Linked DNA regions of Sus scrofa. The protein of the gene in region 1 binds, or shares a complex with, the protein of each later gene. Links are inferred from orthologs where the notes say so. Each region holds a gene or a part of one and is shown on either strand. Other genes may lie near its edges.

What was found.
Region 2: the proteins of DIAPH1 (region 1) and PPFIA3 are in contact, whole or in part, in a crystal structure (PDB 4UWX), measured with the Mus musculus proteins. The link is inferred for Sus scrofa from reciprocal best matches to the Homo sapiens genes DIAPH1 and PPFIA3. Residues at the interface, in NP_031884.1 of Mus musculus: Lys252, Ser255, Ala256, Ile259, Gln307, Asn310, Ala311, Thr314, Pro315, Ala316, Glu317, Arg322, Gln352, Cys354, Val355, Glu358, Gln359, Glu362; in NP_084017.2 of Mus musculus: Pro719, Arg720, Arg723, Leu724, Arg726, Met727, Ala728, Ala730, Leu731.
Region 3: the proteins of DIAPH1 (region 1) and PFN2 are in contact, whole or in part, in a crystal structure (PDB 2V8F), measured with the Mus musculus proteins. The link is inferred for Sus scrofa from reciprocal best matches to the Homo sapiens genes DIAPH1 and PFN2. Residues at the interface, in NP_031884.1 of Mus musculus: Ile635, Pro636, Pro637, Pro638, Pro639, Pro640, Leu641; in NP_062283.1 of Mus musculus: Ala2, Gly3, Trp4, Ser6, Tyr7, Asn10, Ala28, Tyr30, Trp32, Arg108, Met131, Tyr134, Leu135, Ser138, Phe140.

Annotation. Positions count from the first base shown.
Region 1 is NC_010444.4:143,159,470-143,163,022, reverse strand, and holds the end of DIAPH1 (protein diaphanous homolog 1), read left to right. Parts: intron 1-2,696; coding exon 2,697-2,842; 3' UTR 2,843-2,938; downstream 2,939-3,553. UniProt on the Homo sapiens protein: Actin nucleation and elongation factor required for the assembly of F-actin structures, such as actin cables and stress fibers. Binds to the barbed end of the actin filament and slows down actin polymerization and depolymerization.
Region 2 is NC_010448.4:54,330,851-54,334,425, reverse strand, and holds part of PPFIA3 (liprin-alpha-3), read right to left. Parts: intron 2,917-3,575; coding exon 2,823-2,916; intron 2,459-2,822; coding exon 2,377-2,458; intron 1,944-2,376; coding exon 1,743-1,943; intron 1,362-1,742; coding exon 1,299-1,361; intron 1,138-1,298; coding exon 1,111-1,137; intron 100-1,110; coding exon 1-99. UniProt on the Homo sapiens protein: May regulate the disassembly of focal adhesions. May localize receptor-like tyrosine phosphatases type 2A at specific sites on the plasma membrane, possibly regulating their interaction with the extracellular environment and their association with substrates.
Region 3 is NC_010455.5:90,183,087-90,187,224, reverse strand, and holds the start of PFN2 (profilin-2), read left to right. Parts: upstream 1-1,246; 5' UTR 1,247-3,788; coding exon 3,789-3,920; intron 3,921-4,138. UniProt on the Homo sapiens protein: Binds to actin and affects the structure of the cytoskeleton. At high concentrations, profilin prevents the polymerization of actin, whereas it enhances it at low concentrations. By binding to PIP2, it inhibits the formation of IP3 and DG.

The DNA.
Region 1 (3,553 bases):
AGGAGTTAGACTGAGGAGAGCTGCAGGCAATCACGAGTTTTTCAGGATTGTAACGGCGCCCGGTCTGCCCTAGTTCCCTCTTCCCTAAGGAAGCTTATTAACAAGAGCGCTTCCGGTTTAGTAGCAGTAGTTCCGAGCCTGTGTTTTATGAATAGCTTCGTCCGAATCGTTTGCCTTTTTCTGATGCAGCTAGCGTGAATGCCTGCTTTTTGTCTTACCTCACCCCTCCCGTCTAGGAACCTGGCCTCGGAGAGCTTGGAGCAGTGGCTCAGGATCAAGCTCTTCCCCACCGGCTGCGGGCCTCCTAGGAGTGAATAACCCGCCCAGGGCCCGTACGGTCCCAAGGTGTATCTGCTGCTGTGGCTACTTTCCAGTCGTCTTAGAAAGTACCCAAGTGAGGAAGAAGCTCTGAGAGGTCATTTTCTGGCTAGTCGAGCTGTTGAGGGCAACTGTGACCCTGAAGCCAGAGTGGCAGCCACAGTTGTTCAGTTCTGTTCGCAGTTCCAACAAAAGCCTCTCTCCCCGATGCCGACCTTAGGCCACGTCGGGTCCATCCGCAGTGCGCCTGCTTTCTAGGCTTAACGAGGAAACCTGGGGAGTTCCCTTCGTGGCTCAGCCGTTAATGAACCTGACTAGTGTCCATGAGGATGCGGGTTCGATCCCTGGCCTCACTCAGTGGGTTAAGGATCCGGCATCGCCATGAGCTGTGCTGTAGGTCGCAGGCGCGGCTTGGATCTGGCGAGGCTATGGCTGTGGTGGTGGCTACAGCTCCAATTTGACGCCTAGCCTGAGAACCTCCGTGTGCCACAAGTGTGGGCCCTAAAAAGACAAAAGAGAGGTTTTGGTCTTTCCCAACTTCCCCTCATCCACTCTCCGTTCTTAGGAAGTCTGTAATGCATCAGAAGCGTTTTCGATCTAGAAGAAGGTTGAGACGGGCTTGCTTAGGTTCGGCTGGTGCCTTCTTCGAGGAGGAGACCCAAGAGAGAAGCAGCCGGAGGCCGTCCACACTCGAGCTCTGACTCTGCCCGTGTCCTGGAGACCGTAGCTCCTTCCCGGGTCAGAGTCGGATGCTACCTCACACGCACACAGTTAGAGCCTTCTCGCTGCTGCTGGTGACTGAAATCCCAGGAGCAGCCGCGCGTTCATCAAGCCCCTGCCTTTGCGGACTTGGGAGGTGGGGCGGTGGAGACGGAGGGAGGATTTCTAACCGGAGCAGCCACTCGGCAGGTCTGAGGAAGGGCTCGCTGCGTGTAGGAAACCGTCCTGGTCCCCAGGGGCCCCTTGGCCTCCCAGGCCTTTCAGCCCCTGAGGCCGTCTTCCACCTTCGTGTGAAACCCCTGCCCTGCCCTGCTCTGGGTCACCGTCACCGTCACAGTCACCCACAGTCACGCCTTCCCCGGGCCTCCGTTCTGCGCAGGCGGCAGGCAGGCCCTCTGTCTCGGGTCTCTGCTGCTCGAAGGTTTGGGCCCTGCTTCCCCACCCGCTTTAAATTGAGACACAAATCAGCGTGTAACATTCCCCCTTTTAAAGTGTACGGTTGTTTTTAGCATATTCACAAGATTCTGCGGCCGCCACCCCTGATTCCAGAACGTTCCCTCACCCCAAAAGAAACCCCCATACCCAGGAGCAGCCGTAGCGGTCACTCCGCATTCTGGCCTCCCCCACCCCCGGCACCCACAGCCCTGCTGGGTCGCCACGCTTCGCTCATCCCAGACACCTCGCACGACTGGAAGTGGGACGTCCGTAGCCTCGGGGTCTGGCTTCTTGCACCCAGGCGGGCAGCCCTTGGGCCCTGCAGCCTCGAGGCTGCTTGTGGGGTGGAGGCAGAGGCCGGGGGCCCAAGAGGGCCAGGTCCCAACGACCAGGCTTCTTGTGGAGGATGCTGGGCCACAAACCTGGATTCCGCGCGTGTATTTGCGGGTCCTGGGGACAGCTCCCCGCAGCTGGGACAGAAGCTCATGGGTTGGTGGCTTTTCGCTTCCCATGTGGGTGGAAGTGAGAAAGGCGGCCGAAGCTTCGCAATCTCTTCGCCCGCTGCAGGTGTCCAACGGGCCGTCCTTGACCCCGGCTCTGCCTAAGCCTGTCCCCCTTTCCCTCCCCCTCCCTCACACTCACGCACACCTTGTAGGGCCCTTGGCATTTGGTCCCTGGCAGAGGTGGGAAAGCGCCTGGCTGCCCACGGGCTGGGCAGCGGCCGGGGCAGCATCTTCCCAGGTCAGCGCAGGGCTGCTGCTCCTCTTTGCGGGAGTCTCTCTGGCCGCCCGCTGCAGGCCCTCCGCTTGGGACCCCCCTGCCCCAGGCTGAAGGAAAGCTCCTGGGAGCTTCCTGGCAACTGCCAAGAAAACCTAAGAAAATACTGTTGACCACGCTGGCGTGTGTTTAGGTCCAGACGCCTCTGCTGAGAACAGACTCGAGGACTTGCTGGCTCTGTGCTTTACACTTGCTGATGCTCGGACCCCGTTCTGGCTGGGCCCCCTTCACACCAGGAAGGAGCAAGGCCGCTGTGCCCCTGCGCCCTCCCCTGCTGTCCCCTGCCCACCCCCCCCCCCAGGACTCTGCCCCGGGTTCCTGGCTCTCCTCCCCTCCTGCAAAACAAAGGCCTCTGAGCTGGACCCGTGCGCGGCTGCTGGCCGCGTGTCTGGGAGGAATGGCGCGGCGGCCGCTGAGGACCCGCTGTCTCCTGTCTTCTCTTGCAGCCAACAAGAAGGTCGCCTGTGCAGTCACCTTGGAGGGGCTCAAGGACGACGCCCTGGCCTCCGTTCCTGCCAAGATATCCCGGAAGAGCGAGCAGGTGCCCACCATCCTGGAGGAGCCCAAGGAGCTGCTCGGCCGTGCGAGCTAAGCCAGGTCTCGGGGCCACGGCCGCTCCTGCGCGGAGCCCCAGACTGTCCCGCCCGGCAGCGCGGGCCTGAGGGTCCCGGAGCTGCTCCTCGCGGCGGCGGCCGCCCGCGTCACCCCGCCTCCACCGCTCTGCGGCCTGCCGCCCTCTGTCCCTCGCGCCCGGCCTCCGAGCGCGCCGAGGGGAGGCCCGGGGCGCGCGCCCCGGCTCTCGTCCAACCAAAGCCGGCTCCGCGTCCGCCGCCTTAAGCCCCAGTGTCGCCCCTGGTCTCCGCGCCGTCTCTCCGCCAGGGGCACCTGCTTTCTCGGCGCCCGCTTTCCAGGGGGCTCCGGCCTGCGCCCGTCTCGCCAGCCCGTGCTCTGAGAGCAGCACGGGGCTGAGACGCCTTTGGGCTCGGTTCCCCCCACTGCTGTCACCCCGGCTCTGCTCCTCCCGCCCCGGGCTCCTGTCCTTCATTGCTGGCGGCCTGGCATCGGGAGCTACTTCCACGGAAGTGGGTAGCGATCCCTTCCCCCACCTTTTGGGAAAGACCTCCCCCACAGAAAAGGCCTAGGCCACTTGATCTGTGCCCTGGGGCCTGGGCCAGAGCCCCACTGAGGGCGGGCAGGCGGGGCCAGCCCCGGCCACTGCCATGCCTCGTGCCCTGGGACCCTCTGCCCGGCCCCGGCCTCCCTCGAGCTCTGGTGCGGCTCACCTGGAAGATGGGCTGTCTCT
Region 2 (3,575 bases), on another chromosome or scaffold:
CAGCGACTCCATGAAGTAGCTGCGGTACTGGGGCAGCCCCAGGCTGGGCAGCCAGTCGTTTCCCACCCACTCGTGGTTCATGTCGCCATATGCCAGGATCTGGGGCCACGGGCAGGTGGGGGAGGGGTCAGGGCCTCTGACCCCTTCCCAGGGATGTATGAAAGGGTACATTCACCCCCCCATCCAAGGTTGTTCTTTCTCCATTCCATAGCAGGACAATGGCCAATCGCCGCTCAGGACAGTGGACAATCCAGAATTGTCTCTTTCTCCTTCATAACGACAGCATAGACCCTTGTCTACTGGAAAGTGTGGTCCTTGGACCCACAGCATCACTATCTCTTGGGAACTTGCTGGAATTGCAGGATCTCAATTCTAGCTACTCAATTCTAGGCTACTGAATCGAAAATTCTGTATTCTCACAGGATTCTCAGGTGCTCTGAGATGCATGTTAAAGTTTAAGAAGCACTAGTCTAGCATTGTCCCAACTCGGAACAGTGGATCCACCCAACACCACTACTCCAAGTCAGGACAACGGATTCTTCCAACAGAGCTCTCTCCCCAACAAAGGATAGCGTGGCTATCCACCACTCTGCACTGTCCCGAAAATACTAGGCTAATTGTCTACCTGACCCAGGACGATATTCTGGGTCAACACTAAGCCCTTTACGCCTCTAAACATAAGGAAATAACCCAGACCCTCCCCTAATGGAAACAAAGACCCGACGTAGCTCTTCTACCTCAGGTTAGTTCACACCTCTCCCCTCTTGAGAACAAAATGTAGCTCCTTTTCCCCAACTTCTCAGCCTGACGGGCCGTCCCCTCCCCAAATGCTTTCTCTTTTGCCCAGAGCCTGAAACAGCCCCTGGAGCCCCGCAACCCACCATAATGGAATGACCCGTGCACCACTATCAATGGAGCAGTCGGGCTTCTGCACCGACCCCATGAAGCCACAAGGACAGGCCAGAGCGGAGCTCCGCGCAGCCCTCCCCCCGCCCCGCGGTGGTGATGGAATAATCCGGCGAGGGTGGGGGCGGGGCTCGGAGAAGGAGGGGCGTCCATGCAGCGTGCACAGCCTGTTCATGCGCCCACGCCCCGCCCCGCGCCCCCTACCTGCTCCCAGCTGATCTCCTTGGTCTCCTGACCAGTTAGTGGGAAGAGGGGAGAGAAGGGGTGGGTTAAGGAGCAGGCGGAGGAGGGTGGGAGGGACGAACAGACGGACAGACAGCCACAGACTCCCTCCCACTCCTCCCGAGGGAAAGTTAGTGCCACCCCCAGGGCCGCCGGCAGGGGGCACTCACAGGCTTGGTCGTCGCCGTCAGGGACTCCATCTCTTCGTGTGTCATCCACACGTTCCCTGTGGACTGAAGGGCGAGGGGTGTTAGGGAGATTGAGAGAGGGCTTCTGGACCAGAGAGGGGAAGGAGGTCGTGCTCCTGGAGGAGACGAATCAGGCCTGGGAACACATACATTTCTATGCGGAATAAAATGATAAAATATTAAAAGGCAGTAAATGCCATGGGAAATAAGGATGGAGAAGAGTCTGCCTCCTGCGTAAGAAAGACTGAGGGTTGGGAATAGAGGGGAGGCAAGGAGACCCCACTGCAGGGATTATCCAGTTAAGAGACTGCGGAGCTGGGTCGACCAGATGGACCTGGAGGTGAGCAGGCCCATGATTGGCTATTCTGAGGACAGTAGGCGGAGCCCTGGGGCAGAAAGGGCTGCGATTGGCTCCTGGACACTCACCGTGCGGGAGGAGGCAGGAGCGGAGGGTGAGGTGAGTGAGACCATCTCCTGGATGGCGAGGCGCAGCTTGAGCCGGTGCAGTGGGTTGCTGATGCCGATCTCACGCTGGATCTCCGTGTCTGACAGGTTGGCCATGATGGCACCACTCTTGACATTGGCCCGGCAGGCAGCCACATACCACGCAGGCATGCCTACCCAGAGCTGGACCAGAGAGAGGCAGAGATGAGGGGAGACACACAGAGGTGCGAGAGAGATGGGGAGTGAACGGAGCAAAAGACATTGAGAGAGGGACATGGGGAGACCCAAAAGAAGGGGAATAAAAAAAAAAACAAAAAACACACACAGAGATGGGAAGAGAGGCAGAAAAATAGAGACGGAGGATCCCAGAGAGAAACATGGGAAAACACGAAGAGACAGCGACATCAGGACCGAGGTGGACAATGGCCAGAAAGACACGGGCGAGGGGAGAAGGGAAAAGAGCAACGGGAGGATGGACAAGAAGCCTGACCCCTCCGGGGACCTTACCCTCCCCCTCCCCCACCTCTGGGGTGTTTGGCGGGTTCCATCATCCCTAATGGTGTCATCCTCAAAAGGGCGGGGGCTCAACAGTCAGGATGGTTCTGGGCTTCAGTACCTCCAGCCAGGAGACCACAGTGGGCCCATCCCAGGCAGCAAAAGGCAGGCCCTGGCGGCAGGCCTCTTCCAGAAGTTCATGCCTGGGGAAAGGGGGCCAGGGCAGGAGCTCTCAGGGGTAGAGACACCCAGCCCTCTTGGGTGGCCCCCTTTAGCAACCCCCCCCACACACACAAAGGCACTTTATGAATGTAGAAAACATAGCAAAAGGTTCAAAAAAATTACACAGGAACCTCTGAGATCCTCCCCGCTCCCCGCACCAATCAAGAGAAAAGAGAAAAAAAGGAAGAAGAAAGAAGGAAAGCTCTAGGAGTTCCCAAGTTGCCAAGCAAGTTGAGGAGCCCAGACTCTCTCCCCATCCCGGAATTTTCTTCTCACATATGAGCACCAACCCTCCACACACACACACACACACACACACACACACACACACTCACACTCACTCACTTCCTCTTGTTCCTTCGATCCTTGTCTCCTGGGCCTGTCAGCTTGGCTAGTCCCAGAGGATCAGCTGCCAAGGTCTCATCTGAGGGCGTTCCAGCTGGAGGCAGGGAGGAGCCAAAATTTGGAGAGTCCAAAGGGGAGTCAGAATCTTTGATGCCAGGGGTGGGGGAGGGAGGGAGGATGCCAGGGAAGCAGAGGCCTGGAGGGATTCGCAGATGAGGCCACACGGAGGGGATGATAAAACAGACAAGGACCAATGACACCTCCTGGGCAAGGAATTGGAGAAACCCCCAAAATGGGGCTGGGTTCACTGGGCTGGCCTTGGTAAGCTGGCCATGGTGTGCTGGTAGACGACGACTGGCTCCCTGGGGAAGCAGGGAGCATTTCCTGATTTGTAGCATTTGCCAATTTCCGTGGTGTAAATTACCCCACCAATATCAAGCTACCAATGGGATGTCAAAGCAGCTGATAAAATGCCTAAAAATATAACTAACTTGGATTTCACAAGCCAGACAAGCAGGCGCTAGGAATATCGGGGGCCCTGTCTTTAGGATGCTCCTCCCTCTCTATTTTAAAAAAAAATAGGGAGTTCCCATTGTGGCTCAGCAATTAATGAATCTGACTAGCATCCATGAGGATGTAGGTTTGATCCTTGGCCTCACTCAGTGGGTTAAGGATCTGGCACAGACATGGGCTGTGGTGTAGGTGGCAGACGCGGCTTGGATCCAGCGTTGCTGTGGCTGTGGTGTAGGCTGG
Region 3 (4,138 bases), on another chromosome or scaffold:
ACCATCCATAAAGGCACAGGAGCAATGATGAAAATCAGAATGAATGAAATAATATCTTCAAGGTGTCGGTCTTACACTGTAAATCCAATCTATTTTTTTTTAAGTGAAAGTAATATAAAGACATTTTTAGATAAAACCAGCAAGTTTGCCATCAAAAGACCTCCACTAAAAGAACTTCTAAATATTTACTTTAGCAAGAAAAAAATGATCATAGAATGATGGTCTGAGATATGAAATGGTGAGTAAAATAGGAAATGTATAAATACATGTGTGTAAACATCTCTGTAAAATAATAGTCTGCAGAGGTGTGACCAGACTTAAAGTGTTCTAAGGTCCTCAGATTGTCTGATTAGGGGGTTTAAGATATTATTTAATTTAAAGCTTTGTTCTACTAAATATGCATGGTAAAATTTCCAGGGTAACACCAAAAGAATAGAAATTGAACATATAAAATTCCACATGAATGAAAAATTAAAGGACAGATTGCATACTAGACAAAAACATTTTTAAAAAATGAAGTTGAAAGTCCTAATTTCAGTTAATTAAAGGTTTGAAGTGGTCTTAATTAGTGTTTTACTGTTTCTCCATAGTTTCAGTTCCTACCCCAGTGTTTATCAGGTTGATTACATCTTCACAATCAGAACTTCTTGTTTCTTGGTATTTTGCTAAAATGGTGTGCACATGGACTTAAATGGGCTCAGCCACTCCTTGACTGATACATTGAAGAATCTGGCTTAACACATAGTTACTGTTTTCCTAAATAAGAATAAAATATTTTTTGAAAGAATGCATAATAATGCATTCCACATCTAAATAAGCTATGATTATTATTAGCTACATCTGGATATCTGTATCAACAACAGAGTTTTGACTTTTGTCTACTTCTGCCCAGACATCACTATTATCACTGCAGGGATCAATTACCCTGAAAAACGGGAGAGAGAGATACAAATTAGTACATTTTCTCATACTGATACTCTCTGGGACTTAAGTTACTTATACTGCTAATCCTAAAACTCACTTCTACTTATACCTTTTGAAACACTTTGTGGTTAGCAATATTATATGAAATAGAGACAGATCATTGCATACAAACAGAAAATGAGGCAGCGTGGGCCTAAGCTGGCTGTAAAGAAAACAGGCACAGGATTCTTTTACTATAGTACTGAAAAGAGACAGACAGTAGAACTTCTTTGAATATATCATCTCAAAATGTAAACTGTAAAACCCAGTTAGTCTTTAACACAGATTTATTTTTCATTGTTGTTTAAAATTTACTGTATAACAAATAAAATTTATTGTATGCAATTGTGGAAAAGAACACTGTTGGAAAAGTGGAACAATAATTTAAAAATGTTATATTTTGAAAAATGATTATAGGAGCTCTAAACTCTAATGTTGGAGTTCCCATCATGGTACAGCGGAAACAAATCCAACTAGGAACCATGAGGATGAGGATTCGATACCTGGCCTCGCTCAGTGGGTTAAGGATCCAGCGTTGCCGTGAGCTGTGGTCTAGGTCGCAGTGGAGCTCAGATCCGGCGTGGCTGTGGCTGTGGCGTAGGCTGGCGGCAACAGCTTCAATTAGTCCCCTAGCCTGGGAACCTCCATATGCCATGAGGGCATCCCTAAGAAGAGACAAAAAAGCAAAAAAAAAAAAAAAAAAAAAAAAAATTCTTATGTTTTACCCAGTGTTGTTGTTTTACCCAGTGTGTTTTAGAATGTTTTGAGATTTGAATATCCAGAACATCCAATTAGTGTAATCCTTTTGCTGTTTAAAGATAACAGTAAAAGAAACAATGGAATGCAGTTATTTGCATCTCTTTGCTATAGTCTAAAAATTAAATCCTAAAAACTTCAGAGTAGATTAATAAAAGTCAATTTCAAACTATCATCGTTTTTCTTTTCTCTCATTACCTTTACTATTTAAATTTATTGAATTATATGATGTGTACAAAGCACAAATCATAAGTGTGGAGCTTGACAAATTCTTACTATGACAATATTGTGTTATCAGCACACTGCTATTAACTTTTAAGTTGATAAACTGGTAATATTGAAGGATTAAAATCATCAACGACCACCACAAAAAAGTAGTAAACAAGAATGAGAGTGTAAATCAAGTGAGAGGCACACTTGCAAACACGGAACAATTTTTGACACATTTTAAAACAAATTTTCTGTAACATAAGAATATGAGAGAATTCATTGTCTCAATCTGAATGGAACCTCACTTGGGGGTTCTCTTACTGTGCTTCCCTTTCTGCAGGAGTTGTACCTTTCAAAGCAAACAGTAGGAAAAAAAAATACAAGCTTCAGAACCAATTAGATTGCTTAGCAACATTCGTCTTCTTAGTTACACCTGTTTAATCCTCCTGTCACAAGTTGTGACCTTACAGGATAATTTTATAAAGTTGAAAATCAACTTTTCAACGTTTTTAGACGCTCTTTCGCTGGTTTACAGGTCGTTTTGCTCATTTAAAATTGAAGTTGTGTAGGAAGTCTCCTAATTACTCTTCTAGTCATAGCGCCCAGAGGTTAATAAAGACCATTTGAGATTCTCAGAGACTCTACCCATGATTTCCCTTGTAAATAAAAGTCATTATCACATCTGGGTCCTGAAATTATTTTACCCGTCGAGAACGGAAATATGACCTGTTCATCCAGTAAACCCTTTCTTAGATTTTAAAGCTCTTTGCAACTCAGGGATGTCTTCGACCCATTAGTAACTTTCCCTGTTACCAACCAATAATTTACATAGGTTGCTATTTGTTTTGTTCGGAATTTACAAGCAATTCAGCCACACATGATTAGCAAAATTAAGAGGGTACTTTTTGTCAAAGAATCTACAGAATGAGAGACACCTGATACCCAAATTAGAAACGACGAAAGATCGTCAAAGCTCAGAAATGTTCCTCAAAGCCAGGAACATCCGCTCTGATTTCAGGTTGTCCGAGCGCGGCCGCTTGGCAGACTTAATGGCTGAGAGGCAGAGGAGTCCAGGGAAGAGGGTCCCTCTGGGGACACCTAACATAAGCGTGGGCGACCCGGCCACCAGCGGCCCCCATCACAAAGAGGAATAAACGCTCCGCATCCCGTCACCAGGGCAACTCTGAAATCCGACACCAAGGTTCAAGATTCCGCATCTCCGAGCCTCCGGACGCAGAACAGAGGCATTTCACGGTCCAATATCGGAGACTCCGAGGCGTCCCACACGCTGCTGTCTCTGAGGTGCTGACTGCCACGGAGGAGACGCCCTCTCCCCAGGCTCGGGGTCCTAGGCTTACACACCCGCAACGATCCCGGAAAACCCAGACCTTGCCGGTAGCACGTGGCAGCCGTGATTGTCCCGACGGTATCCCTCCGCGCCCCCCTCAGCCTCCCCCTCCCTTCCTGGGACCCTCCGAGTCAGGACGCCGCGGAAGGATCGCACGCACGTGCGCGCGCACGCCCCGCCGGGACCGCGGAGTGCTTAGGGAGCCGCGGTGAGAAGCAGTCTACGCTGCCGCCGGCACAGCAGCTCCGCAGCATCGTGCCGCTGGTTAGTTAGCCCCGCAGTTGCGGGCGGGCGGCCGGGTAGGGCGCGCTCCGCGGCTTGTCCCTCATCGCCGTCCCCGCGTCCTCCCTCCGCAGCTCCTCGGGGAGGGGGGCGGTCGGTGCCTGCGCAGAGCCGCCTCCTCCCCGCCCCCGCCCCGCCTCCCCCCGCGCCGCCGCCTGCGACCGCCGCCGCCGCCGCCGCTGCGCCTGCTGCTCCTCGCCGTCCCCGCTGCAGTGCGAAGGGCTCGAAGATGGCCGGTTGGCAGAGCTACGTGGATAACCTGATGTGCGATGGCTGCTGCCAGGAAGCCGCCATTGTCGGCTACTGCGACGCCAAATACGTCTGGGCAGCCACAGCTGGGGGCGTCTTCCAGAGCATTACGGTGAGGACCAGCGGCGGCCCGCGTTCCCATCCCCGGACCCGAAGGGGCCGGCCCTGGGGGCCGTAGCGCGGGGCCGAGCCATCGGGAGGGCCGCGCCGGCAGGTGTGCGAGGCGGCGGGTGCTGAGGATGCGGCTGCCGGGCGGGCTGAGAGGCCGAGGCCCGGGGACGCCCCCTCGCCTGGGCTGCACTGACAGGCGGGGGCGGCGGCCCGGCGTGC